Linked DNA regions of Tamandua tetradactyla. The protein of the gene in region 2 interacts with the protein of the main gene of each other region in a pairwise test. Links are inferred from orthologs where the notes say so. Each region holds a gene or a part of one and is shown on either strand. Other genes may lie near its edges. The genes, in order: ATXN2, BAG6, SERPINI2 and DNAJB11.

The links.
Region 1: the proteins of BAG6 (region 2) and ATXN2 interact in binary tests that used the Homo sapiens proteins (3 or more experiments, as listed by UniProt). The link is inferred for Tamandua tetradactyla from reciprocal best matches to the Homo sapiens genes BAG6 and ATXN2.
Region 3: the proteins of BAG6 (region 2) and SERPINI2 interact in a two-hybrid assay, tested with the Homo sapiens proteins (2 studies listed by BioGRID and IntAct). The two-hybrid records come from large-scale screens. The link is inferred for Tamandua tetradactyla from reciprocal best matches to the Homo sapiens genes BAG6 and SERPINI2.
Region 4: the proteins of BAG6 (region 2) and DNAJB11 interact in a two-hybrid assay, tested with the Homo sapiens proteins (2 studies listed by BioGRID and IntAct). The link is inferred for Tamandua tetradactyla from reciprocal best matches to the Homo sapiens genes BAG6 and DNAJB11.

What each region holds. Positions count from the first base shown.
Region 1 is NC_135331.1:12,234,234-12,241,989, forward strand, and holds the start of ATXN2 (ataxin-2), read right to left. Parts: upstream 3,007-7,756; 5' UTR 2,924-3,006; coding exon 2,688-2,923; intron 1-2,687. UniProt on the Homo sapiens protein: Involved in EGFR trafficking, acting as negative regulator of endocytic EGFR internalization at the plasma membrane.
Region 2 is NC_135331.1:87,239,980-87,247,265, forward strand, and holds the start of BAG6 (large proline-rich protein BAG6), read right to left. Parts: upstream 3,008-7,286; 5' UTR 2,899-3,007; coding exon 2,896-2,898; intron 2,873-2,895; exon of another isoform or gene 2,742-2,872; intron 2,640-2,741; exon of another isoform or gene 2,636-2,639; coding exon 2,519-2,635; intron 1,461-2,518; coding exon 1,343-1,460; intron 1,229-1,342; coding exon 1,029-1,228; intron 785-1,028; coding exon 731-784; intron 569-730; coding exon 494-568; intron 1-493. Other genes in the region: APOM (apolipoprotein M), read left to right, coding at 5,788-5,901, 6,220-6,374, 6,652-6,725, 6,818-6,916, 7,086-7,246. UniProt on the Homo sapiens protein: ATP-independent molecular chaperone preventing the aggregation of misfolded and hydrophobic patches-containing proteins.
Region 3 is NC_135331.1:64,577,419-64,584,698, forward strand, and holds the start of SERPINI2 (serpin I2), read right to left. Parts: upstream 3,010-7,280; 5' UTR 2,875-3,009; intron 180-2,874; 5' UTR 172-179; coding exon 1-171.
Region 4 is NC_135336.1:5,480,650-5,488,334, reverse strand, and holds the start of DNAJB11 (dnaJ homolog subfamily B member 11), read right to left. Parts: upstream 3,004-7,685; 5' UTR 2,935-3,003; coding exon 2,898-2,934; intron 2,107-2,897; coding exon 2,067-2,106; intron 807-2,066; coding exon of another isoform or gene 795-806; exon of another isoform or gene 507-794; intron 401-506; exon of another isoform or gene 79-400; coding exon of another isoform or gene 11-78; intron 1-10. Other genes in the region: TBCCD1 (TBCC domain-containing protein 1), read left to right, coding at 5,366-5,701. UniProt on the Homo sapiens protein: As a co-chaperone for HSPA5 it is required for proper folding, trafficking or degradation of proteins.

The DNA.
Region 1 (7,756 bases), about 75 Mb from region 2:
AAAAAAGATGAACACAATATATATATAATCACTATAACTGTAGAAATGTTGACAAGAACTGAACACTAAAAGACAAAAATAAAAATTGGATTAAGGTAAAATTATGTTCAAAATTTAAGCTGTAGTTATACTGTTATTTCCTAAGACAAAATGCCACCTTCTGAAATGTATATGACAATTAAAGACAGAATAAATCATTTTGAAAGCCATGAAAATTCAATTTTCACAAAAAACTCAAATGATAAAATATTATATACTATTTAAAGCAAAAGTATTATTTCTAGATTTTCAAGAGTATTTTGCTATCTCTGAACATGTCAAACCCAATGCTGCGCTTTTTTTCTTCACCCTTGATCCAGAAACTTATTTTACTGCTGATACATTCAAGCATAAGTGAGGTTAGAAACTGTAACTGATCTACAAAGGGCCCAATAAACGTAATTCAAAATTGAAAGCAATTCTACAAGTACATGAATCTATACAAGAACAAAATTTTACATTATATGACTAATACATTAAACAAAACTTCAAATATTTAACAAAAAGAGTAAGATCTACCATTTACGCATCAGGTGAAATAATTTAAAGCAAGACAATCTAAATGAACCTTAAATTTCTGTGAAGCCCTAAGGAATAGAAAAAAGACCTACAGTACTAAAACATTCCAAGTATCTTTGATCAATCAAGCTACCTCGGAACAAATTATTTGTCATAATGTGATTTTTATACCTAAAGAGAACCAATGCAACTTCTTCAAAGCCTTAGTTTAAATTTTTTAATTATTTGAGCAAGTGAAATATATCTGCCAGATTTCAACCTGACACCTAAAAGGAAAACAATTCTTTCTGTAAAAATTATATTTATAATTTTCATTTTTCTTTATTAATGCCACTGCAAAAAGGAAACTAAAGTTACAAAATCCTAAGTGTACAGAGCTGGGGAAATGATCCCTTCATTTGAACTAGTTGGCTAGGTTTGTGGGTGCTTTAGAGAAGGGGAAACTATGGGAGTAGGAGTGGGTAGCAGTCCAGAAGCGTCTTTACATCAACCTCTTTGAAGTGAGAAGAATTTCTTAAAAACCAGCTGATTCATCTTGATGGGTAAGTTTTTTTGCTGGTTAATGAAAATGCTTTGTAACTGGATTGCTGAAAATGTGTTTTCACAAAGAAAACTCAGTGCATGAAAAATTCCCTTATTCCACCTTCAAAAGACCACGACATCTATTTAAGGAGAATGCTGGTCACTGGCCCTGCCAATCCGGCCTAAATGAGGCATGGCAGCGCCTTCAACACGGATGGACTCAGGGCACAGGGGAAACGGACTTGCGTGCCCTTGGTAAGCGCTGGCGACACTCCCCAAGTTAAGGACACAGGCCACAATGGAACGGAGTGTTACTGACACTTGCACCCTGTTTGAACGCTAAGCATTTTCTCAGTTAGTGAATTACGAACTGACACACGACCCTGACTCCCAAAGAGGCTTTGGCGCACAGGCACACACACTCTAGAGTTAGACCCGGCTGGCGGAAATAACAGAGCCCCCAGCCTTCAGCACAAACCTGGGTTATGAGGGTTGGAGCGGGAGAGGGGAGGCGCAAGGAAACACCCACGTTTCTGCCTTCAGGAATCCCACCCTGTCCCCCGCTGCAATCCCTCTCCCCAAACACACGCAAAAAAAAAAAACACCTCGGAAATCAGGGTAGGGGGTATCAAGAAAGCTCAGCGGGCTCCCCCCGCCCACCCCCCACCTCCCCAGTTCCGCCTGGGCTTCGGGCGCACGCCTGGGCCCGACCCTCACCCACCAGTGTGCAAAAGCGCTTTAGCCGCCGCCTCGGAACGGCAATGCGGATCGGCCACCACCCGAGCGGGAGAGGCCATGCGGGAGGAGGGAAAGAAGGGGGAGGCCGGGAGGGGCCCAAGCACTCCCACCCTTCCCCAGGTGGGGGAGAGCGGGCCGCTGCGGGAGGCTGCACAGGGCAAGACCATTCTAGGGCTTCTGGACACCCCGCCGCGGCCTTAAGGCTTAAAACTGGAAGGGGCGGGGGGCTGCTGCCCACCCACCTCACCCCCGTCCTTCCATCATTCACTGAGTAGAAAGGGGGCACAGGTGAAGAGACGTGACAGACCCCAACGATTCCAGAAGCGTCCTGTGGCTGCCCCTTTAACAGGAAGGCAGGGGACGCGGTCCAATCCCCCCCCCCCCCGCCTCGATATTCCTCCATGGGGGAGGAGACGTGTTTCGGGAGACTGAAACAAAATCTAAAGACCACTCCAACCACATTTAAACCGGGAGTGGGGACGCTGCCCGCAGCATCCCCCTCACCCCCACTGGGGACCGGGAGGGCTTAAAGAAGGTGCAACGGGGGCTGACAATTGCTGGGACCTGTGAGCATTTCAATGGGAAGGGGACGCTGCCCGGTCCTTCCATCTTGACCGTTTAGGGAGGAGAGTGAGGATGGTGCAGGAGGATGGACGCGGCCTGACAATCCAGAGGGGCCCCACGGCGCCCCCCACCCGAGCCTGCAGGGTCTAAAGCGGAGCTCCCGCCCCCGCTGCGGGCCCCTAGCCCACCCCGCTAGGCCAGGCCGGTCCCGGGGAGGGGATGGCGGTGCGGACCGCGGGGGAGGGGACGCGAGGCCCGACCTCGTCCAGGCCCCAAGCGGAGGGGGCTGGGACGCCGACACCCACCTGCCCAGGCCCGGCCGCCCGCCGCCAGTGCCCGCCGCCGCCGAGGAGGAGGAAGCCGCGGCCGAGAGCGAGGGCGACGAGGCTGAGGACGGCGGTGGCGCGGCGGCGGGCGACGTGAGAAGGCCGCCGCCGGGCTTGCGGGCATTGGCTGCCGCGGTCTGCTGCTGCTGCTGTTGCTGTTGCTGTTGCTGCTGCTGCTGCTGCTGCTGCTGTTGCTGCTGGGGCTTCAGCGACATGGTGAGCGGCCCATACACCGGCCCGCACGCCAGGCGGGTACAGCAGGGAGCCGGGCGCGCCGAGGAGACGCCGGAGCGCGGCGGGGACGCGCGGGCGCCGAGCGGAGAGGCGCGGGTTGGCACGGCCGGGGGGGAACCCAGGCCCGCGAGGGGGAGGAGGACGACGACGAAGGGGCGGGGAAGCCGGCCGGGACCCAGGAGCCGCCGGGAGCTGGGCCGGGACACGCCGCAGCCGTTGCCGTTGCTACCAAAACAGTCTGAGGCGGAGGGAAGCGAGCGCTGCCCGGAGGGAGGGGGGCCGGGGCCGGGCGGGGGAGGGGCGGCGGAGGGATACGGGCCTAGAGCCGTGCCGCCACCGCCCCTTCCGCCCCATCGCGGGAGCGAGCGCCGCCGGGTCCATCTGGCAGCCGCGAATCGGCGAGGCTCAAGGACCACCGCAGGGCCCCGAGGAGCTGCGGCCGCCGAGCTCATCGGGAGACGAACACACCCAAGCGCTGCTGGCCGTGCCAGCGGCCGATGCGGGATGGGGACTCTTTACCGGAAGTCGGCAGGGTCAGACGGAAGTAGGGAGTGAGGGAGCTCCGAGTCCGGGAGGGACACGTGAGGAGCGGGTGCCGGTCTGGGCCGCGTTCGCGGGGGTCGGTGAGGGCCCGGCTGCCGGCCCTGCCTGGATCCGCCCTCCTCTAGGCGGGGTTGCCCTTTGGCGAGGGCGTGTCGGTCTTCTCCGGCCGGATCAACCTAGCGTAAAGGACTAGGAGGAAGCGTTTTTTCTCCCTCGCCCCCCAAGGTGCCTTTTCGGTCCTCAAGCTTGGAGAAGAATGCCTGTTTGACCCCACCTGACGCAACGTATAAAATGAACTGCGAGCGCCTTCCGAGGGTAGAGTGTCTTGCTCCGTATAAAGCACGCAGAATAGTCACTGGCGCGATGAACACGAGCATTCAACAGTTATCTTTGTATCCTCGGCGCCTGGCACACAGTAGGCCCTCGGGTGTCACTGAGTGTCTCAAAGAAGAGCCCTGTTCTGTTTCGCTGCCAAGACTAACGAATGGACTTGAGATTGAGCAACATGCCGAGGCTACCCAAATCTGGTTACCTTTACCCCACTTTTTCTACAACAGCAAAAAAGTAACCAAGAAAACTCTTTTGCGTATCTGACCTTCATTTGAACCCATTTTCCCCTCACTTGAACTTCTTTTACCTCCTTCATGAGGCTCAAGAGGAAATGTACGTGATTTGGTACAGCTATGAAAAAATGGGGTCTCCTGTCGGCGGAGACAGAACAGTCTTCACAAGAATGTGCGAACTTTAGACCTTGGCCCCTTTAGAAGTTTTACTTTAACTTAAGAGAGCCAGCCAGCACAGTAGTCCGTTTTTAAAATGTGTTGCAATTAAACTGGAAGCAAGTAGATAACTACTTTTTTTTTTTTTTGAGTGAAGCATCTAGTGTTTTGTTGTATTTTTTAGTGAGTTTAAGGAAATGATAGGGCAATCAACATCAAAATTCCCTTCAATCTCGAATTGTCCAGATAAACGTAAAGACCTAGAAGAACTTGAAGAATAATTAAGCCAGATGTATCCAGTAGCCAGAATGAACTGACATTAATCTCCTACATAGCCTAGGCAAAACTGATCATTGTATATTGCAAACACTTGAAAAGCAGGCAATCAGCAATCAGGTGTATTTCCCATCTAAGGTAAAAAGATTGAGAAAAAATGTAGTATTCCTTTAGAGTTAAAAAATCCTTTAAAAATTAGCCCAGAAGAAACAGGGCTAAAAAACCAGATGAAGAAGGAAAAAATAAAATAACTATAATCAAAATACAATGGACTTTCTCTGATTTAATGACTTAAGAGCTTTATCTGGGACCAAGGTCCCAGAATGTAGTGTTAGGACCAAACTCCAAGCATATGGGGGAAAAAAGGGAAGTAGAGTAAGAAGGCATAAAGCTGACATAGCTGAACTTGGTTTCATGTAGGCTGAGAAATGTAGGCTAGTTCTCATCCACTATAATTGAACTTTTTCCTACCATAAGAGTCATCCATTTGAAGTATTCGATGATTTTTAGTCAATTTACAGAGTTGTACAACTATCCCCACTAATTTCAGAGCATTTCCACTACCCCAGAAAGATCCCTCATGCCCATTTGTAGTTACTAGCAGTTTCCACCCACACCTCTGGCAACCACTCCTCTACTTTCTGTCTCTATGGATTTGCCTGTTCCAGACATTTCATATAAATGGAATCTTAATGTATGTGGTTGTTTGTGTCTGTTTCTTTCACTTAGCAGAATGTTTTTGAAGTTTATCATGTTGTAGCATATATCAGTTTTTAGCTCCTTTTTATTACTAAGTAGTATTCCACTGCGTAGACCAATGGGATTTGTACATCATTAATTCACCAGTTAGTGGACACTTGGATTGTTTTCAACTTTTGCCTATTATGAATAATGCTGCTATGAACATTTGTGTACAGGTCTTTGTGTAGACATATGTTTCATTTCTCTTGGGTAGATACCTAGGAGTGAAATTGCTGAGTCATAAGGTAAATTTATAATTAACTTTTTTTTTTGAAGTTGAGAATTGTTAACAGCAAAGAAATATATTTAAGTTTTTAAGGTATTGTCAAACTCTTTTCCAGGTGGGCTGCACCATTTTATGTTTGCACCAGCAATGTATAGGGTTTAGCATTAAAATTTGATCTTTACTTTTATATTAAATTGGAGACCAAGAAAACCTCTCTTGTCAACTCTTTTTTTTTCCTCCCCATTTCACTTTCTTGAGGGAGTCTCCTCACCTAAAACCAAGGAATATCCCTTCTTGCAAATCCTTCACCTGAATTCCAGACCTCCAAGAACATGGTTATTTTATAGCAACCATGATGTCAGAGGGCTTTAGCTTTATATGAAAATGTCAGGGTATAGTAGGCAGTCTCTAAAACAGCCCCGGTGATCCCTTCCTCCTGGTATTCAGATTCTGACATATCCCCTCCACTTGAGTATTGGCTGGGCCTAGTGACTTGATTCTAACAAACAGTTAGAAAAAGTAATGGGTTTTCACTTCCAAGATTATAGTACAGAAAGACTCTGGCTTCTGCCTTGGGCTCTGGGGTGGCTTGGAATTATGTATCCCCAAAAAGCATATTCGTAATCCTATCCATTCCTGTGGATGTGAACCTACTGTAAATAGGACATTTTGAAGATACTATTTTTAATAAAGGTGTGGCCATATGAATTAGAATGGGTCTTTATGCTATCCATGGAGGTCTTATAGAGAAGGGGGAGCAGCCAGAAGCTGAAAGTCAATGAAACTGGAAGAGAAAGGCGATAACCCCGCCACGTGCATTGTCATGTGATGGGAAAGCCAAGGAACCCCAGCCAGAAGATACCGACCTGGGAGGAAGCAAGCCTCTAGCCTTTGAAGCCCAGCTAACTGAAGCCAACCATTGTTGCATATTTGTTTTAGCAGCCAGGAAACTAAAACAAGCTGCCCTCTCTCCCTCACTTGCTCTGAAGAAAGCCAGCTGCTATTCTGTTAACTGCCCTACAGAGAGGTCCATATGACAAGGAACTGCCATCTCCAACCAACAAGTGAGGACCCAATGGCTGTCATAGGCCGCATGAGTGAGCATAGAAGCTCAATCAAGCCTTGATATGAATATAGCCTAGCAGACACTTTATTGAAACTTTTATTGTATCTAGCTCAGGTTAGGTACCCTGAGTTAGAGCTACGCATTTAAGCTGTCCCCAGATTCCTAACCTATCTGTTTTAAGTTGCTAAAGTTGGGGACAATTTGTTAACACAGCAATAGATAACTAATACAGATGACCAAAAAAAAGGTACATGTCCAATGATTTCCATAGACTCGGAATTCTTTAAAGACAGATGCTGAAATTAGGGACTAATAATATATCCAGTGAAAGTTAAAATTTTGAATGGTCCTTCATCTCCCACAGACATTTTTCTGATAGTCATTAAAACAAAACCAACAAGTGTCTTTGGAGAGTTGTCATCAAAGGCAACGAAGAATATTGCCCTGAAACAGTCTAAGATTGAGAAGTGTTGGAAAAATTTAAGCTTCAAAAATATTTCAACCAATATTTCAGAAATTCAAAAAGTCTCAAGACAGAAAACATCCAGAGAAAGACTTTCAGATTTGGGAATCTAGTCCTGTGGTTTCTGTCCTTGCTTTCTGATTTCCAGTGACTCCTCAAGCCACATGATCCTTTATTAGCCTGTTAATTTTCATTACTTCAGTGATTAATCAAGTCTGGGAATTTGGGGATGAAAAACTGATAGAACCATGCAAAGCACAGAAATGTGTGGAGTGATTTGTTATCTCTCATATAATAGCACACAGCAGAGGACCCCATATTTCCAGCAATTCATTTTTCTGTAATCATTTCTGTCAGCTGTCTTCATTTGAGCCTGTTTAATGTATGATGATACATTATTCACTCAATACTCTTGATTTTGATTTCCACAGCATGAAAGTTAATTCAAATCAAAACTAACATGCATCCCCCCCCACCAAAATCCATCCTCTTCAAATTCTTGCATAGACAGATACTCAGTTTTAAAAAAAAAAAGCAGATGTAATTTCAAAAATAGGACCGTGGCTAATTAAACCATTGCTTTTTCTCCTGACTGTGGTTACTCAGAATTCTTAGAGGCAAATCTATTTGTAGACCCTCTAGGGATGCCAAAACACTAAAACAATATTAAAAAAAAAAAAAAAAAGAAAGGAAAGATGGGTGTTGGGGGAGATGCTGCTTGGAGGCATTATTTATACACTTTGTATGAAAAGTAACTGCTTTCCCACAGGTGTGGAAAAA
Region 2 (7,286 bases):
TGCTCTACCTTCAGGAAGGCAGAGCTTTGTGTTTGTATCTTTGACTTCCTAGGAACTAGTACAATACATAGTATGAGACTTAAATAAATTAGGTACATAATAAATACCTGTAACATCTACAAATAAATTACTGACAAAAAGTAGAGACTGTGGTTTCCTAACCTTTACGAGCAGACAGAGAAGACAACAGGTTGCAGCCTACAACACAAACTAATGAGGTTAGGATATCTCAATGCTAAATATGTTAACTAAGAAATTAAACAAAAAACAACTGAATCCTTTAAAATTTTTAATTGAAAGGAGATGCCATGAGAGTTATCTGACAAGTCTGAAACAAACTTCTTAAATACAGGCACCAAGAGGACTGGGAGGGATGAGATAGTCTCACAAGGATATTTTTTCTACCCCAAAGAATGAAGATTGCAGAGAAGAATCCTGTGGATGTGACCACTCATGACCCCAGTCCTGGGGCTGGTTGGCCTTACCCACTCACCTCCATGCGGGAGAGTAAGGTCTGTATATCTCTTATCATGTGCTGAGCCATCACTAGCCGGACCCGGGGCTCGCTCTATGAAGAGAGGAGAGATGATCAGGGCAGGTTTGAGATGTACCCATGTGTTCCAGCACCTACTATAGCAGGACCCAGCTATCTCCTCAGCCAGACCCAACCCCACCTCAAGGCCTCCTTCTCCCAGATCCCCTTCCCTGACCCTCCCAGGCCCTGTGATACCTGAATTGGGGCCTGTTCCATGTTGATGTGAACATCCACAGCAGAGCCGTCACTCTGAGGAAAGGGTAAGGGAAGTTGCTCTGGGAGAAGCCAAAGACTAAGGCCCGCATACCTCCAAATCATTCTCTGGAGTTCCATCCTTTTTTGTCTCTCAAAGATCAAACCCAATGTCAGACCACAGGGCTTTCCAAATTCACACTAAAACCTGAGACACCTGTCTCAGGAGTGCCCTGCTGCTACCACAACCGCATCTACCGTTCCCTACAAAAAAAACCTCCCATGTGGAACACAAGCTTACAGGAAGATTGAAGGTTCCAACCATGACATAGCTGTTGGCGTTCCGGTCATGAACAGAGGCCCCAGGAACTCGAGTACCAGGTGGGGGACCCCCACCATGGGTGGCTGAAGGAGACCCTGTTCCAGAAGATGCTCCAGAAGAAGGGAGCTGAGTCTGAGGAGGAGCCCGTTCCACCAAGTGGATAACCTTTCCCCCAACATCTACAGGAAAGAAAAATCACACCAAGACATCGTATGATTAGGTAAACCCACAGACTCAGCCCATCCCGCCACACAGCAGCTTTAACCTCTGACTGGCCCCTCCCATACTCTTACTGTATTCTTGGAGCTTTTTATCATCCTGCAAAACTCGACCCTGGTAAATGAGCCGTTGTTTCTCAGAGGGGATGCTGACAGAGGCAGCAATGTGCTCCTTAAACTCTTTTACATTCATCTGCAAGGAGAAGAGACAAGGATAGGAATCAGGGAATGTAGGAAGAACACAAGAGAAACAGCTGCCTTAGAGTGAGAGGTAAAAACCATCATAAAAATCACTACCCATTTATTTCGATTGTGAAACCCTAAGCTGAAAACATACCTGCCAAAACAGACAATAAAGTCAGTTAAACTCAGGTTATAAGCCCAGATGAGAATTACATGGCTGAGAAATAGAAAAGCCAACTTGCATTCCTTCCACTTCTCTGGCTCCCAAGGGAATGTGTGTCTAGAGATACCAGTAACCCCTCCGCAAACAAAAATGATTAACCACAGACTATTTCATAATCTCAAAGATAAAACCAATGACAAGGAAGATGGGGGTAGGGGGGATCAGGTTAAGAGGGGAAAACTCAACCAAAGAGGAGGTTAGAAATGGAGTAAAAAGGAAAACACTTTTCCTAAACAACTTGGGAAGTACCAGGGTGTTTACACACATTGCATCAGAAAGTCTAAATGGCTTTCTTAAACACTGCATGTAATATCAGGTTTAAAAAAAAACACACCAACTCATTCAAGATTTTTGTCTCCAAATATTACAAGAGTAAAGTACAGCTGTGTCCATAGCATTAAACTTGAGATTAAATTATGCCACAAACAGTCATAATTCCTACTCAACTGCTTATTAAAGCACTATCCACATAATGGGCTCTAATTTCCAGTCTTAAAAATAGAGTTTAGGCCTGACAGTTTTTTTTTTCAAAACACACTTGTGCTTTGGGTCTGCATGTTTTGTTTCCCCTTTGCACTGAGGGCCAGCTGCAATGGCCTACAGAGTCCTCCTTCCTTTCTATTTCCCTCTGTACTGAGATCTACAGATGAAGAGAAAGACAAAACAAAATCTGTCTCAGGAACAGAAACATCAAAAAACAATAAAAAACGTTCTGTTCCAGAATATGAACAAAGAAATCAACAACAAAAAAAACCTGAGGACAAGAAAATCAGACTCTTCCCTCAGGCTAAGAGCCTACAAAATGAAGAAGTAATCAATGTCTTCCACAAGTGTTAGGATCTCACCTGGGCCCCCACAATAAAGGTCCGAGTCTGAGAGTCTAGGGTCTTCACCAACACCTCCAGGCTGTCAGGTTCCTCCATAGCGGCACTGGTACTATCACTGCGCTCCATGGCCGACAGCTATCTAGGGAAGAATGGGGGGAAGAGAGGGAAGGAGGCCCGCTGTCGCCCGGACCAGATTTTATATTCCCGAAAGCCTCCCTGGCCTGAGCCCCCGTCCCAATACCTAAAAAGTTTCTCCGACAAAAGTACATGCACTCATAAGCTCCCCCATCCCCCTTCTAATTGTGGGACACAAGGAGAGAAACACAAAGGGCAAGAGAGCGACGGCCTAGGGAACTATAAGACGGGGGTGGGAGGAGCTCCACGATGCCAATCACCATAAAAGAGGGCCAGTCAGGTTAGGAAGCAGGGAAGGAAGGAGGCACGAGACCAGAAGTGTCATCACCGGTCGCAATAGAAAAAGGGCCCCAGAGGTCGGCAAACCCTGGGATAACGCGAGCAGGGTTCGGTCCAGACGCTGCGGAAAGAGTGGCTTCGCGCACGCGCGCCACGCCCATCGAACCCGCGTAAGTCACGACGGACCGAAGACCGCGGACATTCAAGAGGGACGGAACGGCTAGCTGTTTGCCCTCTTCCGCCTGCCTTTGGTGCTCCAACAGAGCGGCGCAACCAACACACAACCAACCACACGCACGTGTGTACGTACACACACACACAGACACACACAGACGCACGCACACCACCTCGCAACCCCGCCCCCTACTTCCCCCACGGTACCGTCACTTCCGGTCTCCCCCAACCTGCCACCGACGGCCACTTCCGTTTCCCCGACAGTATTAGGGGCTCGCGAGGCGGCACTTCTGGCTCCGCAAGACCCCCAAGCTTTCCTTTTGTGGGGCTCGACGAGAAATTCCAGAGCCCCAAACAGTGAATTCCTGGGGGCGAGACGGACCGGGGCCGGCCTAGATGGGAGGGAGCCGACCACCCCGAGGAGCCGCCGCCGCCGTCGCCTGGGGGACCGTACTGCGCCTGCGTGCGTTACATACGCGTGCGTACACACTTGAAGCGCCTCCCCACCCCCGGTAGCGCGGTTCGTGTTTCCTGTGCGCGCGTGAGCGCTATAAAGTTCAGGTGGCCACTATAAATGCCTGAAAATAAATTACCAGACGGGAGTCCATGACTGCCTCAAGAGATACTTTGAACAGTTGTATGAATCTTGTAGTTTGGGGACTCAGGATTATGCCTCATTAATCTATGTCAAAGTTCTGACAGGCGGAGAATTTGAGGCGGCACTGCTCTAGCCACCTAAAACTTTGCTTTCCTCTCACTGTCGCCCTAGTCGCGCTCTTTCTTCTTTCTGCATCTTCGAAAGTCACCCTTTCTGCGGGCGGTTGGGGGCAGCTTGTGGGCCGCCTGTCCCCCTGCGTCCGGTTGCGTCGTTTGGAGAGACTTCGACGCTGACCGGCGGGCGTTCGTGGGGTGCCAGCGCCATGTTCTGGCAGTGCACGACCGAGGGGACATGCCATGTTTTTCAAAAGCTGTGGGTTCTTTCAGGATGTGTCAAGAAAAGGAATGCCTCCGAATTTGGGAATTGGGAGCAAGTGAAGTCAGACTGGCCCTAAAAACGAGACTCTGGCCCTAAATTGAGGCTGTCAAGGGACTTCGGCAGGCCCGGGACAGGGCTGGGATTATCGTCCCTGTACACTCCCCACCGAACAAGGTCTTTGCCCCTACGCCGTTGCGACCCCTCCAGCCAGGCCTGTCTTTGTCCGGGTGCCAACCTGCGCTGACCAACCTTCCCAGGATTTGAAGTTTTTATATACCCACGTTCCAGTACTGTTTCAGTTAAGACTTTAATAAACATCTGTTTAGTGAGCATTTATTTTATGCCAGCCAGCATACTAAGGGTTTTACGTACTGTTGTCATAGTTAAGCTTTTTTCATCTGAGATAGTCGGGTTTATAGGTGAGTTCACTTAGACGAACATTAATTGGCAGAAAGAACTGATGATCAAATCTAGGCTTGCCAGACTCTGGGTCAAGTACTTCTACTTTGCTGCCCCAATAAATTAATGTATTTTTATTTTTTGTTATAAAATATTTCATACACACCCTAAAGTAGTAGTAGTAGTAGTATGAACCCTTATATACATCAATCATCCAGATTATTTTTTGTTTTGTTTTTAAACTAAATTTTGCAAGCTTATAGTAAGTTTCACCTCTCAGGACAAATTTGGGGGGACAGTCATGAATTATGAATAATCTATTAAGAAAGCCCCCTTTCACTGCATTAACTGTTCTGTTCCCTTGGGATTATCCAATTACTGCTTCTACACAGTTCTTCTTACCTCCTATTAAGAACTTAGTACCCATCAGAAACTAATAAGTGCAAACATTAATTACAATGAATTTTTACTTTGAATTTATGTGCAGCCTTCTACTAAGGGCTTTATGTGCATTATTTCATTTAATCCTATGAGATGGACGATTTACCCATTATACAGATAAAGAAACAAGCATAGAGATTAATAAAACTGCCCAACACCTAATAAGCAGAGTTGGGTTTGAACCCAGATTTGCCTTATACCAAAGATCTTAACACTAGATGATACAGCCTCTTACTTGGCAATAAACATTGAACAAATGCATTCACTTACATGCCAGCAAACTTTTCCAGAATGTATGTGCACTGTTTCCTCAATTATAAACAAGCTCCTATAGAAAGAAAGCCTATCACCCAGTATGTTTCACTGTCTGGATCATACCTGTTCTACAGCACTTAGGTTGTATTGTAATGATTTGTTTATATAGTCAGTTTTCCCAAGGCAGATTTCTTGAGGCCCAGGATTGTGCCTTATCTTGAAGTCCCTGGAGCTTAGCCAGTTTCTAACAAACAGCTGGGACTCAAAAGAGTTTGCTAAGTGAATGAATGAAAGACTCTCCAATGCTGCACAACACAGCAGATACAGCTCAGCTATGGGTTGACAGACCAAAGGGCTTTTACTTGGGTTCAGTTCTCATAACTCCTGAGAAACCCCAGACATATTAGGGTGTACTCTAGAATGGCTGCATATAGAGATGGGAGGAAGGTCCGAACACTAATCCTGGTTTGGGTTGGAAAACAAGGTTGAAGTTACTCATTAGCAGGTGAAAGGGTCAAGGATCAAGGCAAGGGGGCTGGAAACAGAGTGGACTGAGCAGCCAGCAGGGGAGAGAGCAGTACAGGGACCAGCCACCCCACACAGGGCACCAGCTCCCTCTTGCCTGAAGATGTTCCACCGAATTTGGGCAGCTCTGCTCTACCTCTATGGCATTCTCCTTGATTCCATGTACTACTGCCCTGAGCACAGTCAACTGACAACTCTGGGAGTGGATGGGAAAGAGGTATGGAAGAGAACACGTGAAGCCTATGGTGGAGGCCCTGGGGAATTTGGGTGGGTGGCTTAGGATGACCAGAAGCCACATGGGGAAAGGAGGGGAAGAAGATGCTGTGAGTGTTGTGATGACAAAAGCAGGGAGAAAGATTTTAGTTCTGAAGCCATAACTGTGGAGACATGGCAGAATTGGAGTGGGGGTGGGGTGGGATGGTGGCTACCCAAGTCATTGATGACTTGCTGTCATGGATCTGACCCCCATTTGCAAAGAGGAAAGCAGCCAATGCCTATCCTGACTGACAATTTGCTTTTCAAATTGTCTCTTCAGTTTCCAGAGCCCCACCTAGGTCGGTGGTACTTTATCGCAGGGGCAGCTCCCACCAGGGAGGAATTGGCGACTTTTGACCCTGTGGACAACATTGTCTTCAATATGACTACTGACTCTGCCCCAAGACACCTCCAGCTTCGTGCTACTATCCGCACGTGAGTGACGAGGAGGTAGAGGTGTCAGTGGGTGTGGTCTCTGCCCAAAGAGTAAGCACTCATCCACCAAGAGCTGGGCTCTTGGCTGGTACCTCCACTATTCTTGGCTCAGTAGTACTTATTTCCCTTTGGAAAGAGAAAGCTAGATCTAACCATTCTTTGGTAGCTTGAAATCCACAGGGATCCAAGTTTCCTTCAAGGAGGAGTAAAGGGAGGCTGGGACTATGTGGTTGGAGTGTCTCTAAGTCTGTCCTTCATGCCACCACCACCTCTGTAGGAAAAACGGGCTCTGTGTGCCCCGGAAGTGGATCTATTACCTGACTGACGGGAGCACCGATCTTAGAACTGAAGGTTGGTTCCTTCAGCCCTCACCCTCTCCATGTCCTCTGGCCTTGCTTATGCATCTCTGTCCTCATCCCCTGCCCCCCCACTCACCCTGACAGGCCGCCCTGACATGAAAACGAAGCTCTTCTCCAGCTCGTGCCCAGGAGGAATCATGTTGAAAGAGATGGGCCAGGGTTACCAGCGTTTCCTCTTCTACAGTGAGTGGGGATGCAAGGCAGGAAAGGTCAGAGGGAAACAGGAAGGCAAGAGAGCCCTTACTCTGAATCCCTTAACATCACCCCAGGAAGGGGTGACGTGCCCATGAGGTACTCACCAGGGTGATGCTGAGAAGCAGGGCCTTTGACTGTCCTGGCCCTGCCCTTCCAGATCGCTCACCACATCCTCCTGAGAAGTGTGTGGAGGAATTCCAGTTCCTGACCTCCTGCCTGGACTCCAAGGCCTTCTTACTGACTCCCAAGAATCAAGGTGAGGGGTTAAATTCCTACTGCAGAAGACTAGGACTGAGTAAGTCTGGGGATGCTGGATGAAGGAGGGCTCATGTAATGTCACCTGAGGGCATAAACAAAG
Region 3 (7,280 bases), about 23 Mb from region 2:
TCCAAGAATTAAAGTCATTCCAAGGGGTGAAAATATAATGTTGTTTTCGTGAGATAAACAAACAGCTTGATAAAGATCCACTGCGAATTCAGCATTTCTTTGAGCCGAGGGTCTTGAGGCTTGACTTCCAGGAAAAATCAGTAAGAGACTCCACAATAAGATTTTATCCATTTTGACTTCTGTAAAATGTATAATTCAAAGTTTATTGGATTTTTAAATAATCAGAGTTTACTACATTAAGTTCAACAGAAACTTTTCTACCTTATTAGAACTTTCTGTTTTATTAGAACTAACTTCCAAAAAAATCTATACTATGCCTGTTTCTAACAATGCATCATTTTTTAGGAGAAATAGGTCATGCTAATGGTAATTTTTATGTTCTTTCAAGAACAAGTCTGAAATATATTTGAAGTTTCTTAAGCAAAATCAAAGGATAAATTATACTTCTAGAATGTTTTCAATAGCCATACAGTCTCTGAATAGCTATATGATACTTTCTCTTATCTTTTCCTATGGTTTTAAATGGGATACCTTTAATTCTGATACCAAGGGAAACTTTGATCCAGACTACTCTAAAATGGTTTAAGGCTCAAGAAGAGAAATTAAATAAAAATGAACATATTCCATTTTGGTTTTAAATCTACAATATTAGGAAGCTAATGTATTCTAAACCATTTGAATAACTCGCCTAACCTCTTGCAGCCGTGATCCTCACACTTTCCGGAATCCCACTTCTCCCCATATCCTACTTTTCCAAAGGGAGGAAAAAATGCACAAAACTCTGAGAAAATTGTAAGGAAAGAAAATGACAGCCAAATATAAATGGTACAGTAATAACAAAAGAGCAATGCAATTAAAAATCGAACAATACATTGAAAAATAAATGAACAAATACAAGAAAAGCAGCAATTGAAAATCATAACCAATTCAAAACAACACTAATGACATCCTATTAAAGTGTTCTCCATTAAAATTTCAGGAAAATCAACTATCTGGATTATATCCAGAGTAGAATAAGTTTTACAATATTACCACAAACCTGTTAATAGAATACTGGCTGCAAAGGCCTCATAAATTTCATAACACTAATTTTAGTTTACAAATAATATGTTTTAGTGACCTAAATAATTCATTTAGCAGGTTACTAGAAGGTAGGGTGAAATCCTCCATAATATTGTGTTGCTAGCCTTAAAGAAATAAAGAACTGCATTTCTATATCATTTTGCAGACTATTAGGAGAGCTGTCATAATCCATGAATGGGTTAAGGTTCATTGAGAAGCACTAAATTACATACAAAGTATGCATTTTTAGTAAATATTAGTAGTCTCCCAAACTAAGCTGTGGTGTCATTATCTAGATACATCAAAATTTTTCTAATATATGTAATCAAATTCTATTTGCTTAGATATACATTTTGCAATGGAAGAAAATTTCAAAATCCAATTCCAAGCAATTTTTAGAGGAACATGTGTTGACAAACTGCAAATATATATATATAAGCAAGCAAATGTTTTATTGAGGAATTAATTGGACAGGAGGCTGTGACTGGCTTTGTCTCAACAATTAAAGCCAGTGAGTGGGTCAGAGAAGTTGTGCATGCGAAATAAATTTCTTTGCATCACTGTTCTGATATACTGAATTTCTCAGGATATTTCTGACCCAAGTGTGTAGATACATAATTAGCCAAAATGTTATTAGAACTTTTAAATCATGATGCAGCAATTCATTTGGTGTATCTTTAAGAACATGGTTTATTTTAGAATGATAAGCAATATTATGAAGGATATCATTTTACCCTTAGGTAGACTCTGGGCATTAGAGTTATCTTCCCCTTACTATTAACGATCTTACTAATTAAAATTTACATTCTTTAAGCATCCGTTTCTGCCAAAAAATTCTAGGCACTTATAAATTACAACTCAAAAAGTATATGTAGATGAAACCGCCAAAATGTCCATCAACAGACGAGTGGTTAAACAAGCTGTGGTATATACATATGATGGAATATTATGCAGCTGTAAGACAGAATAAAGTTACGAAGTATGTAACAGCATGGATGGACCTTAAGGACATTATGCTGAGTGAGATTAGCCAGAAACAAAAGGACAAATACTGTATGGTCTCACTGATATGAACTAACATTAATGAATGAACCTGGAGAATTTCAGTTAAGACCAGAAGTCATCAGGAGATAGAAATCAGGTAGATATTTGGTAATTGGAGTTGAAGGGATACAGATTACACAATGGGACTGATTTACAAAAATTCAGAAATGGATAGCACAATACTACCTGACTGTAGCACAATAATGTTAGAACACTGAATGAAGCTGAAAGTGAGAATGATAGGGGAGGGGGCCTGGGGGCACAAATGAAATCAGAAGGAAAGATATACAATAAAGACTGAGATGGTATAATCTAGGAATGCCTAGAGTGTATAACGATAGTGACTAAATGTACAAACTTCAAAATGGTTTTGCATGAGGAAGAACAAAAGTATGTCAATACTGCAGGGTGTTGAAAATGGATGGAAATTAATATTTTAAAACTTTAACTTATGTGTGAGACTAAAGCAAAAAATGTTTATTTGGTACAAAAGTTATATTTTGGCTAGTGCATTTCCTAATATAACTTATGTGGACAGCTTTAAAAAAAAGTATATATATATATTTTAAATTTCACTTATCCTACTGGGTTTTGGATCATATGTCAGCAAAAAGCACAAAATGCTGGTACACTAAACAATCCAATTAATAACCCCATGAGAATCCGACCTTCGAATTTATAATAGCAACCTCTACTCTATTAAACCTCCACAGTCAACGTTATTGCATATATACTTCACTCAGAAGATATTTAAATTAAAGTACTTACCCAAAATTGGCTTCTGATGATTCACTGTAATGTTACAACTAAAATGTGCTTGCTGGAGAACACTGGCACCTGATCAGTCAAGGCCAACTCTATTATCTTGAATGTTGCTTGATTAATTCCTCTAAGACCAGAGCAGGTGTTCACTACATTTGTATACAAAGACTAGCATGATCAAGTTAATGAGTAATTTTGAAATACGCAGGAAGAGAAAAACAATAATAGCATCCCTTTAAATCATCAAGTTTATACTATTATTCTATCCATTATTTCACCTCTTTTACAAACAGAAGCAGAATTTGAAAGAATGTGCCTATGTTTGTAATATTGCTGGTAATTAGTTTTTTTTGTTTGTTTCTCACAAGACTTTCACATCACATTACCAACATACTCCATCATAAATATTTTAGAATGCCTATGAGAAAAAGAATAAGGCTAAATCAAGTCCAGAATGCAGAGACAAATTACTGCTGTGCTTACAGAATTCTCAACAATCCATCAAATTATGCAATAGTCAGAGGAATTTCCTGCAGATACAAGGCCCAGTTGAATCCTTAGGAAGAAGAGTGGATATTGATGAAATATGTTCTTTATGTTGAGCCAGATTAAGAGACCAGATTACGATTATTGATTTAACTAATTATATCAGTATAAAATTATTAAACATAGGTAATTTAATAATAAACATCAGTGTTGCCTTTATATGCTTTTAAAATTCTACACGATTTTCTCTCCAAATAAGTTATTAATAAAAAATGGATGCATAATTGAATGGGTCTTGATTTCATTCTTCTATTTCAAATCAGTCATTTCAATGATAATTAGGCATTAAAACACATTGTATTATTTATCAATGGCCTCTGAGAAGAGAAGCAGAATATTTGGTCTAGTAATTAAGCAAGTATGATTGTCACTTGCTTGTCAAGTATAATATTATTTCCAATAAAGTCATGAGGAAAAAATAAAACGAGCATCGTTTTAGTTTCCTAGGCTGCTCTAAGCAAATATCATTAAATGGGCTGGCTTAAACAATCAGAATTTATTTGCTTACAGTTTTGAAGCCATGGAAATGTCCAAATCAAGGTAATGTTTTTTTCCCAAAGACTGGCTGCTGGGGATCCTCAGCAACTCTGCCACATGGCAAGGCACATGGCGTGTTTGCTGGTCTCTCTCTTAAATACCAGGTTTCATTTATCTCCATTTTTACCTTCAGTGGTTTTTGTTCTCCTTCTTTTCCTGAATTCATTCCATTTATAAAGGTCTCCAATAGTAGGATTAGGACCCATCCTGAATGAGGTGAACTTAAGCAGCCTCATCAAAATGTCCTACTTACAATGGGTTCATACCCACAGAAATGGATTAGCTTGAAGAACATGTTTTTCTGGGGTGTATCCAGCTTCAAACCACCATAAGCATAAAATGGCTTTAAAGAGTATTCATTGAAGAAACTTTTTCAAGGATCCTGTTAACCTCTCTCAGTACAGGCCTGAGAAGTCTGGTGATTATTATAGCCATCATCTCTTAGTTTACTAAAATTCTAATTACCGGGATCACCAGTCATCATGAATGACACGGTATCTATGCAGACCAGGAAGCTCATGATCAAGCCACTACTTCAGCAAAAACAAATGGCCATCGCTGTCCTTCACCCTGGAAAGGCAACAGTACCTAAGACTGTTTGGGAAAAACCAGTCAAAATATACATGACCACATCAAACATCATCTTTGTATTTGGATCCAGAACCTCTTTTGGTGGTGGCAAGATGACTGGCTTTGGCATGATTTATGATTCCTTGGATTATGCAAAGAAAAATGAACCCAAACACAGACTTGCAAGATACGGCCTTATGAGGAGAAAAAGATCTCAATAAAACAGTGGAAGGAATGCAAGAAGAGTGAAGAAAGTTAGGGGCACTGCAAAGGCCAATGTTGGTGCTGGCAAACAGGAGTACAGATTCTTCACTGACTTGATCCATGATTGTATAGATATTTCACCAGAGGGTTCATAAAACTAAAAACTTTATGTTTGGTTGCTTGGAGTATATTTGAAGTTTATTGAAAGTGTCATAAAATCGGGCTGCTGTTATGACAGATTTAGATTGATGCACAGAGCTCACATTGTCCTGTTAAACATTCCATGAAACATAAAAAGAAAAAATTCTGATTACCCATCTGGGCATCTCAAAATCTTTCCTAAATCTTGGTCTATTCTGTTACAGCTACTGTAGCACTGGAAAAACTCTATTCTAGCTTTAACTTAATACCACAAGAGACTATATTCCAAAAAGAGTTGTGAAACACAAGAACACCGTCATCATTCCAGCTCTACTCTTCAACACATGAATAATAAGTTGGACTATCCAAGATGATCATGAGTCAATACCGTTATGCCCAAGAAGTGACACTGGACACAGCCATCATAGTATTATGACTGTACATTACTCAGATCATACTATGATAGACCTAAAAAAGGCCATTACTTTTCCAACCAATGACAGAAACATTCACTGTCTTATTAAAACATTTAATGAGGTTATTCTGTAAGAACTGTATGTTTGAGCAGTTCAGCTGAATGTCCATTGTCATTTCTCTTGGGGAATAAAAAGCAACGACCAGAATTCTTCCTCTATTTTAATAGACAATAAAGATATGAAAAAACCATAAAATATTACTGCACACATTTTATGTGTTTTCACAACTCTGCTCCTCCTACAACTCTATGCCCCTAGAGCATCAGTAAAAAAATTACTCATTAGTGGGAGCCAAAATGTCCTGATATAAATTTCTTGAGCACCATTACTATTCCAATGTTAAAAAGAAACCAGGGAATATGTACAAACATAATAGTAAGATATTACAGTTAGAGTTTCATCACCTTTCTTAGCATTTTGTAGTTTTATTTTTAAGAAAAAATGTATTTAATTCCAAACTTTAAAGACATATAAGCAAATACTCTAATTAATAAAAGACTTAGAAGCTATTTCTTCTATTTGAGCATGGTGAATTTCAGGCAATTTTTCTCTGTCAGCTTACTCTATACATTGTAAGTGATTAGATGAAAATGTTCTGAAAGAGAACAAACTAAATTATATTTCATGTAAATCTACATATTGCAAAAAAGATAGCCTATTGAAAATTATGGCACACACTATTTTAATGTGACAAGTTCCTTTCACTGTGGAAAAATGGATCCTAAATAACTGAATCTAAATGTTAACTTCAGAAACAGCTTATGATGGCTTTCGTTCTATTAACAGTTCATGGGTGAGATCCTGCTACCTGCCTAAAACAATTAGATATTGTAAGTAACAAAAGAAGAAGAATACATAAGAGCTAAATTTCTTTTAATTTTTCCCTTTTAATGTGATTTTGTTCCAAACTATTAGAAGCAGTAACATTTAAAAATTTTTCATATCTTTAAGAGTTCTATTCCCATTAAATACACCTGTATACCTTTCACAAAAGAGGTCGACATTAAGACATGAAGTTAGAGTTATACACAGCATAGTACCTTGCACACATAGTAGGTACTTGACAGGTGCTTTTCATATAAATGAATAAGTTCCACCCACACATTGCCCTTTATCCATTACTTCTCTAAGGTTATAAAGAGAAGCTCTGTCTATAAACCAGTTTCAGAATAATCACTTCAAATGAAGTTATCTTCAGGGGTAAAAAGTAAAATGTGTCCAGTGAAAGATTTCCAAATTATAAAATCTAATGGGGCAATTCAATCTTTGTTTAATAAAGTGCAGTCTATGTGCCTTCAATCTAGAAGGCTGAAGGCAGGAGAGTATATCCTACTCATATTCGTATCTCTCTTATCTAACATGGTCCCTTGCATGTGCAGGATGGACGGATGGACACATGGATGGAAAAAAGACTCTTCACAAAGCATTTGGTGCCCCTCTTACATCTCTTTGACAACTTAATATTCCTTTAAATTTCTTGGAATATAGCTCAGATTTATATGATTTAGAAATCACAGGCTCTGAATTTGAAATGATGGTCTGTCCAATCAAATTTCTTTCCCAGTGCAGGAATTCTATGCAATCTCACTGAGTTATCCAGTCGCTGCTTAAATCCTTTGTCCCAAAGCAATGCTTGTTTTTAAAAAATAATTTACTTTGAAATACTTTCAAATTTACCAAAAATTTGCAAGTACAGTGCAAAGAATTACCATTCCCCTCCCATTTTTTCCCCATTTGTTAACATGTACCACATTTCTTTTCTCTATATATGGTTGTGTGATTGTATCTGTGTGTGTCTGCCTCTTTTCCACATGTGACTCTCATTCAATAAGGAGGAAAATCACTATGCATAAAAATCACTATGCCAGACTCAATTTGGATTTGAATGTAGATGGAATAGGCAGCCGCTTCTGGAAACCTTTCTTCCACCAATCACTC
Region 4 (7,685 bases), on a different chromosome or scaffold from region 2:
TGTCCCTCACCCAGCGATCACGGCCCCGATGAGGTACAGCAGCAACAGGCAGAAGGTGCCCAGGTTCTGCGGGGCCATAGTTCTTCCGTCCCGGCCCGGGTCTCACGCACTCCTCGCCGTCTCCCCCGTGGCCACTTCCGCTAGCCAGTCCGCACGGCCCTGTGAGGCCACCTCACGCCGGGGGTCTCCTCCTCGGTCCGCAGCCACAGCTAGCTTGCCCACTCCTTCGCTGGTCGACTTCCCGGGAGTCCCAAATCCCAGTGAAAGAAGCCCCCAGCGGACGAGAGCCAATCGCTGCTAGGGACATCACACGCGGCCGGCGCCGCGGAGCCAATCAGAGCAGTACACTTCACCTCCGAGGCGGCGCGACCTCCAGTTAAGCAGCCCCAGCTCTCGGCCAATTAGAAAAGAAGACGTCAGAGTGTCGCGCCGCCGCAGGAAGCCGTGCAGCCCCGCCTGTCGCAGAAAACTACGTAAAGAGAGGGGGGAGGTGGGTGCCACAGGAGGACACCGGAGGCACAAGAAGGTCCTCCCGCCCGGCCCCTTGGACTCTCCACCAATCACGGGGCGCTTCCTCCAGCACCGACCAATTGCAGGAGGAAGGCTTTTTCTAGGTCACATGTCTCGGAATTTCATTCATTTTGAGCGTCCTTCCGGACGCCAGTACGCAAGGATGACGGCAAAATGGGCGGGACAGTTATTCCAGGCTCAATGTACATCGGTTCCACTGCTTAAGAGATTTTATTTTAAATAATCCAAACAATCTCCTGAGAAAATTTTACAGAGAAAAAGCCATGGTGCCTAAGGTGAGCATCTTTGATGTAGGTAGATAGACTTAGGTTCGGATTCGGCTTCCACCACTTCTTAACCGTAAGACGAGCCTAAGGTACTTGATGAACAAAATTGGGGCAAAACACTACTGGAAGTGTTGTGAGTTTTTAATGTTAGGAAATCTGTAAATTGTCTAGCACAGCATCAGGCGTATAGTAAGCACGCAATGAATAATAACTTATTGCAGTTATGAATGGAACTATTTGATTCGTCCCAATCTTCACCTACTTTTGATCATTTCAGTAAACGCACCACCTCGTTGTTGAGGACAAAATTCTTGGTGCCTTTCTTGATTCTTTTCCTGCATCACTTGTCCAATTCTTTACCTCTTAACTGTGTCCTGAATCTCTGGTGCACTGCTCTACATATCCACTACCTCTCTGGGCTAAGTCAATATCATCTCTCCCTGACAGGGACTCCTAACTGACGTCCCTGCCTTTACTGTTAATATCCTACCATCCATTTTCAGCCTCTGCGCTCCCCACTCCCCAACGACAAAAATAAATAATAAATAAATAATTAAGATTATGTGGCTTCTCTGCTTAAAAGCTCCAAATGGCTTTTCATTACACGTAGAACAAAATTCCAACTCTTCCTACCCTACCTTATGAAACCTTACATGACCTGTACTCTCACCTAGGATACTGCCAACAAAACTAGCTTCTTTTCTCTTTTTTGAACACACCAAGCTCATTCCTGCCTTAGGGTCCTTGTACTAGCTGTTCCCTCTACCTGAGACACTCTTCCCTCAGATCCTAACATGGATAACTCCTTTCTTATATCAGTTTAAATGTCACTTCAGAGAGGACTTCCCTGTCCATCCAATCAAAATTAGCACATACCAAATCCCTTATTCTCACAACACCCTATTTTGTTTCCATCCCTGACCCTCACATCCCCACACTTATATGTCAGTTCCACAGGATCATGAATCTGGTCTGTTATATTCACTCTTATACCCCTAGTATCTTAGAACAGAATAGGCACACAACTATTTTTTTGGTAAATGGATGACTAGTTGCTTTGATTGTGACCTCCATATGGCTGCTTCTTTAGGCTTTAGCTCAAATGTCGGCCCTATTAAATGGCCTTCTTAGTCTCCCGCCTCCCAGTTTTCATAGCACTTTTTACATTTGAAATTATTCTATTTCCTCAATATGTATTGTGTATTCTTCCTATTAAAATACACACTTCAAGAAGGATGTGCACTGGTGGCTCAGTGGCAGAATTCTCACCTGCTGTACCGGAGACGCGGGTTCGATCCCCAGAGCCTGCCTGTGCCAAAAAAAAATGGAAAATATACACTCCAAGAAAGCAGGGATCCTCTCTGTTTTGTTCATTGCTGTAACCCTTGTGCCTTGCATTGTGTCAGGCACACAGTGGTGCTCGATGAATAATTATTGCTGTTGGCAGAAAACTAAGACATAGATAAGTGACAAAATTTGCCAAAGGTCAATGAGCTAGTAAATGGTGCAGCCTGAATCCTCAACCAGGTCTGTCTGAATCGAAGTCCCTGTTTTTTGCATCTACACATATGTGGGACTAAGAGGAAGACATGGTTTACTACTTTTAGGAAGATGTCTCTTAGGGAGAGAAGCCACGTAAATGAGGAAGTAAACTACACTTTTTGTCTTATATCCCTTTGTATCCCCCACACCAAGAGAGGCCATAAAGGAACAAAGAAAAGCAGGAAAAGGCCACAAATCATAAATAAGAGGTGATATCTTCTGCTGGGTGGAATAAAAAAAAATCTTCACGAAGACGGTAACACGGCAGGAAAACTAACAGAGTTAAGGAGATAACGCAAGGGGCTTTCATCTCCGACTGCCTGGGTTTAAATGTTGGCTCTTCTCTAATTGTGTGCCCTTAGGGGTGTGTTACTTAAATCTCTCTACAATCCCAGTTTCTTCATCAGTATAACAAATGTTTTTAATTTGATGGACTCTTGGGAAGACTGAAAAAAAATGCACGTATAAGTGCTTTACACAGTGCCCAGCCCATAATAAGCGCTCTATAAATCTAAACTGCCATAATCATTATTACTTATCAAAGCGTGCTGACCTTACCAGCCGCTACTGACAGACCCACGGTTCTGTAGAGCATTAGAAAACTTATTCTCTGGGTGGAAAGACGCGCCACTAGAGAGCAGCCGGGTCTGGCTCCTCATCGAGGACTCCAGGCCTCCCAATTGGTCTCCGTCACTGAAGAGGCGGCGCTCTAGCAACGCCGCCTGCTGCTTCTCGGTGATACAAGCCCCCGCGCATGCGCATTGGGTGTCGAGGCGCGCTGGGAACCCGGGTGTAGGGGCTTTGCGCTCGCAGGTAACAGCGCGCGGCGGTCGGTGGCTGGTGGGCTGGGAGAGGGATGAATGGGTCAAGTTTTAGGCTGGGATTGAGAAGGGTGTATTCGCGCTTCCCAGACGCGAAGCCAGGGTGCGCTTCGGACCCTGTCAGCTGGGGCGTCTCTGTTTCCATAGCTCGGGCTTCCCGTATCAGGGCTCTGGCACGTCCCCGCCGCCTTTTCCCGGCTGTGTTCTAGGCGGCGGCCCGGCCGTTGTCCACACGCCGGCCTCCCCGCCGGAGAAACCTTAACGCCAGCGTCTCCCTGAGGAGTTTTAGGAGAGGTAAAGGCCCCAGGATATGTTTGTTTGTGAATTTCGACTTCCGGAATTTGGAGACCTTGGAAAGGACGTCCTTAGGATATGGCTTTTGACTGCGAGTTTAGACCTCCGGAGTTGCAGAATTAGAAGAGACCTTAGAGAGTATACATCCGTAGGATTTGGCTTTTGATTGCACACTTCAGAGCAGCCTATTTACGTTTTGGGAAGAACTAAGATTTTCCTCCTGTAACCATCCTCTAGTTGTATTCAGAACGATATTAAGCCTTGCCCATTTAGGGAAGACTTGTTTACTCTCCACGCGCCTTTTTGGCTCAGAATCCCAAACTCCTTCACCTGGCCCTTATTTGGTCTCATGTCTAAGGCTCTTTATTATAGTCGGCGTCCCGTTTATTAAAGGTTCATCCAAATTGAATTCCCAAAGTACATCTGTAACAACACGATTCTCAAGTCAGAGAAACATTTAATTGTAATCTAGGGCCGTGCGAACTAATTATGCAGTTTTGGTCAAGTCTTTTAACTTCTCTAAACCTCATTTCCCTCATCTGTAAATGAGATGGAGGTGTTGTGAGGATGAAAACATGAAGTACGCAAAATGTTTAGCATGCTGCCTGGCATATAGTAAGCACTGGATTAGTGTCAGTTTTTAAAAACAGCTTTATTGAGATATAATTCATCTACAGTTCGTCAATTTAAAGGGCACAATTCAAGGGTTTTAAGTATATTCACAGATTTGTGCAACCATTGGCACAGTGAATTTTAGAACGTTTTCATTACATTAAAAGAAACCTCTTCGTCTTTAGTTTTCACATCATGTTTTCCATTATGAGAAAATTCCCCCCCAGGCCTAAGCAACCACCAACCTACTTACTGTTACATAGGTTTCCCTGTTCTGGACATTTCATACAATATGTGTTTTTTGGTGAATGGCTTGTTTTATTTAGCATAATGTATATTTAAGGTTCATCTTGTAACATTCATCACTACTTCATTACTTTTTATGGCTGAATAATATACTGTTGTATGGATATACCACATTTTGTTTATCTATTCATCAGTTGATGGGCTTTTGGGTTGTTTCCATCTTTTGGTGATTGTGAATAATGCTGCTATAAACATTTGTACGTAAGTTTTTGCATGGACAATCAATTATTTTTTTGAACAATTTCCAAAAGATGCATAGTTATAAGGAAAGGCTTTTTTTTTTAAAGATGATGTTACTTAATGGTGAGGAGTATTCAATGAAGAGAGTACTGTGGTCAAGTGATGGTACAATTTGGTAAAATTTTGGAAAGCAATAGAAATATATGTCAGGAGCTTCAAAAATGTCAGTATTACTTCATCTGTCAGATACACATCTGATAATTTTCCTTGGGAAATCATTTATAATGCAGAAGCAGCTATGCAGAAAGATGGTAAACAGCATTATTTATAATTTTGAAAACACTTAAACTTATTAAGGACATTTTTAGTATACACAAAAGTAGAGTATACCCATCACCCAGCGTCAAAAGTGATCAATATTTTGTCTATCTTGTTTTTGTGAAAAATTTTTATACCTGTTAAATGTCTAAAATTAGGTGACTGGTTGAGTAATAGCAAGGAATACACTTTTGCATACTCTTCCTTTAATCGCCAATGAAAGTAACAATACAAGCAAGACAATTTTGTTGTATTGCAAAAATCTTCTTGCCCAAGTAGATTTTAATGAAATCCAATAAAAACTTTATTCTACTTCTGGTTGATGAAATAGTGCTACTTTTCAAACTGGTGTAGTACATTTAAAAACAGTTAAGGGAGGTGTCACCTTCTAAGACATTTATAAATGAGTTTTGTTGTTTCAGATCAGTTTGTGAAGAAACTTTGTTTCCTAGGTATGCAAAGAAGACTTTTTACACAATTGTCCTTAGAGATAGCATGGATCAGTCTGGAGTTCTCCTTTGGGTGAAAGCAGAACCATTTATGGTGGGCGCCTTACAGGTGCCTCCTCCATCCAAGTTCAGCCTTCACTATCTCAGGAAGATATCCAGCTATGTGCGAACCCGGGCCACATGCAGTGCTTTCCCACGGCTCTACTGGTCTACATGGAGGCACATTGCGTGTGGGAAACTGCAGTTGGCTAAGGATCTGGCATGGCTTTACTTTGAAGTATTTGATAGTCTTGTGGAAAGGACACCCGAAGAGCGTCTGGAATGGTCTGAGGTTATGTCCAATTGCATATCTGAGGATGAAGTCGAAAAGCAAAGAAATCAGGTATGGATTTTTGTGTGTGTGAAATTGTTAGGGAAATGAATAATTTCTTTCTTTATCTGTGATCTTTGTACCAGCTGGATAGTTTATTTTAGGCTAATGACCATTGTGATCCCAAAGGTCTATTTGAGTTTTGGCAGTTCTGGTTTGTCAGTATTTAATATATTTAATGAATTGTTTCTTACTCACCCATCCTTATTTTATCCTAAAGCAATAATGTTATGTGAATCCTATAACTGAAAGAGGAGAATAGTTCCATTGATTTAAAAAATATTTTGGTGTGTGTGACTGCTTATGAACCACTGATATGTTAGTCAGGGTGCACATTTTTTTTCACATTTCTTTTTTTTTAATTAATTAAAAAATTTTTAAAAAATATAACAACAAACACAAACATTCTTAACATATGATCATTCCGTTCTACATGTATAATCAGTAATGCACAGTATCATCTCCTAGTTGCATATTCATCATCATAATCATTTCTTAAAACATTTGCATCAATTCAGAAAAAGAAATAAAAAGACAACAGAAAAAATTCATACATACCATACCCCTTACCCCCCCTTTCATTGATCACTAGCATTTCATTCTACTCAATTTATTTTAACATTTGTTCCCCCTATTATTTATTTTTATGCTGTATGTTTTACTCATTTGTTGATAAGGTGGATAAAAGCATCAGACACAAGGTTTTCACAATCACACAGTCACATTGTGAAAGCTATATCATTATACAATCATCTTCAGGAAACATAACTACTGGAACACAGCTCTACATCTTCAGGCAGTTCCCTCCAGCCCCTCCATTACATCTTGACTAACAAGGTGATATCTATGTAATGCGTAAGAATAAGCTCCGGGACAACCTCTTGACTCTTTGGAATCTCCCAGCCATTGACACTTTATTTTGTCTCATTTCATTCTTCCCCCTTTTGGTCGAGAAGGTTTTCTCAATCCCTTGATGCTGAGTCCCAGCTCATTCTAGGATTTCTGTCCCACGTTGCCAGGAAGGTCCACACCCCTGCGAGTCATGTCCTGTGTAGATGGGGTGAGGGCGGTGAGTTTGCTTGTTGTGTTGGCTGGAGAGAGAGGCCACATCTGAGCAAAAACAGGGGTTCTCTTGGGGGTGACTCTTAGTCCTAATTTTAAGTAGGCTTAGTCTGTCTTTTGTGGGGTTAAGTTTCATATGAACAAACCCCAAAATTGAGGACTCAGCCTATTGCTTTGGTTGTCCCCACTGCTTGTGAGAATATCAAGAATTCTCTACTTGGGGAAGTTGAATTTTCCTCCTTTCTCACCATTCTCCCAAGGGGACTTTGCAAATACTTTTTTACTCACTGTTCAGATCACTCTGGGATTTATTGGGGTATCACTCTGGACAAACCTAGAAAATCTTATGCCCTACTCAAGGCTCCCTGTACTTATGGTGTTCAATTAAGCTGTTCACATAAGTTATATTAGGAAATGCACTAGTCAAAATATAAATTTTGTACCAAATAAACATTTTTTTGCTTTAGTCTCACACATAAGTTAAAATTTTAAAATATTAATTACCATCTATTTTCAACACCCTGCAGTAATGACATTCCTTTGTTTTTCCTCATGCAAAAACATTTTTAAATGTGTATATTTAGTCACTATCATTATATACTGTAGGCATTCCTAGATTACACCATCTTGGTCTTTATTGTCTATCTTTCTTTCTGATTTCATTTGTGCCCCCAGCCCTCCTCCCTCTATTAATCTCACATTCAGCTTCATTCAGTGTTCTAACATAATTATATTACAGTTAGGTAGTATTGGGGTGCACATTTTTTAAATGAACATTTGTTATATACTGGGATTCAAAGATGATTAAGCATCTCTTTCTTCACAGAGGAGGCTAATGTGTAAAAATATGCTATTTGGTGTGATATGTGCAAGAATAAAAATATATATAAAATACAAAAAGTAAAGAAAAGAAGGAAATGATTGAATCTGCTAA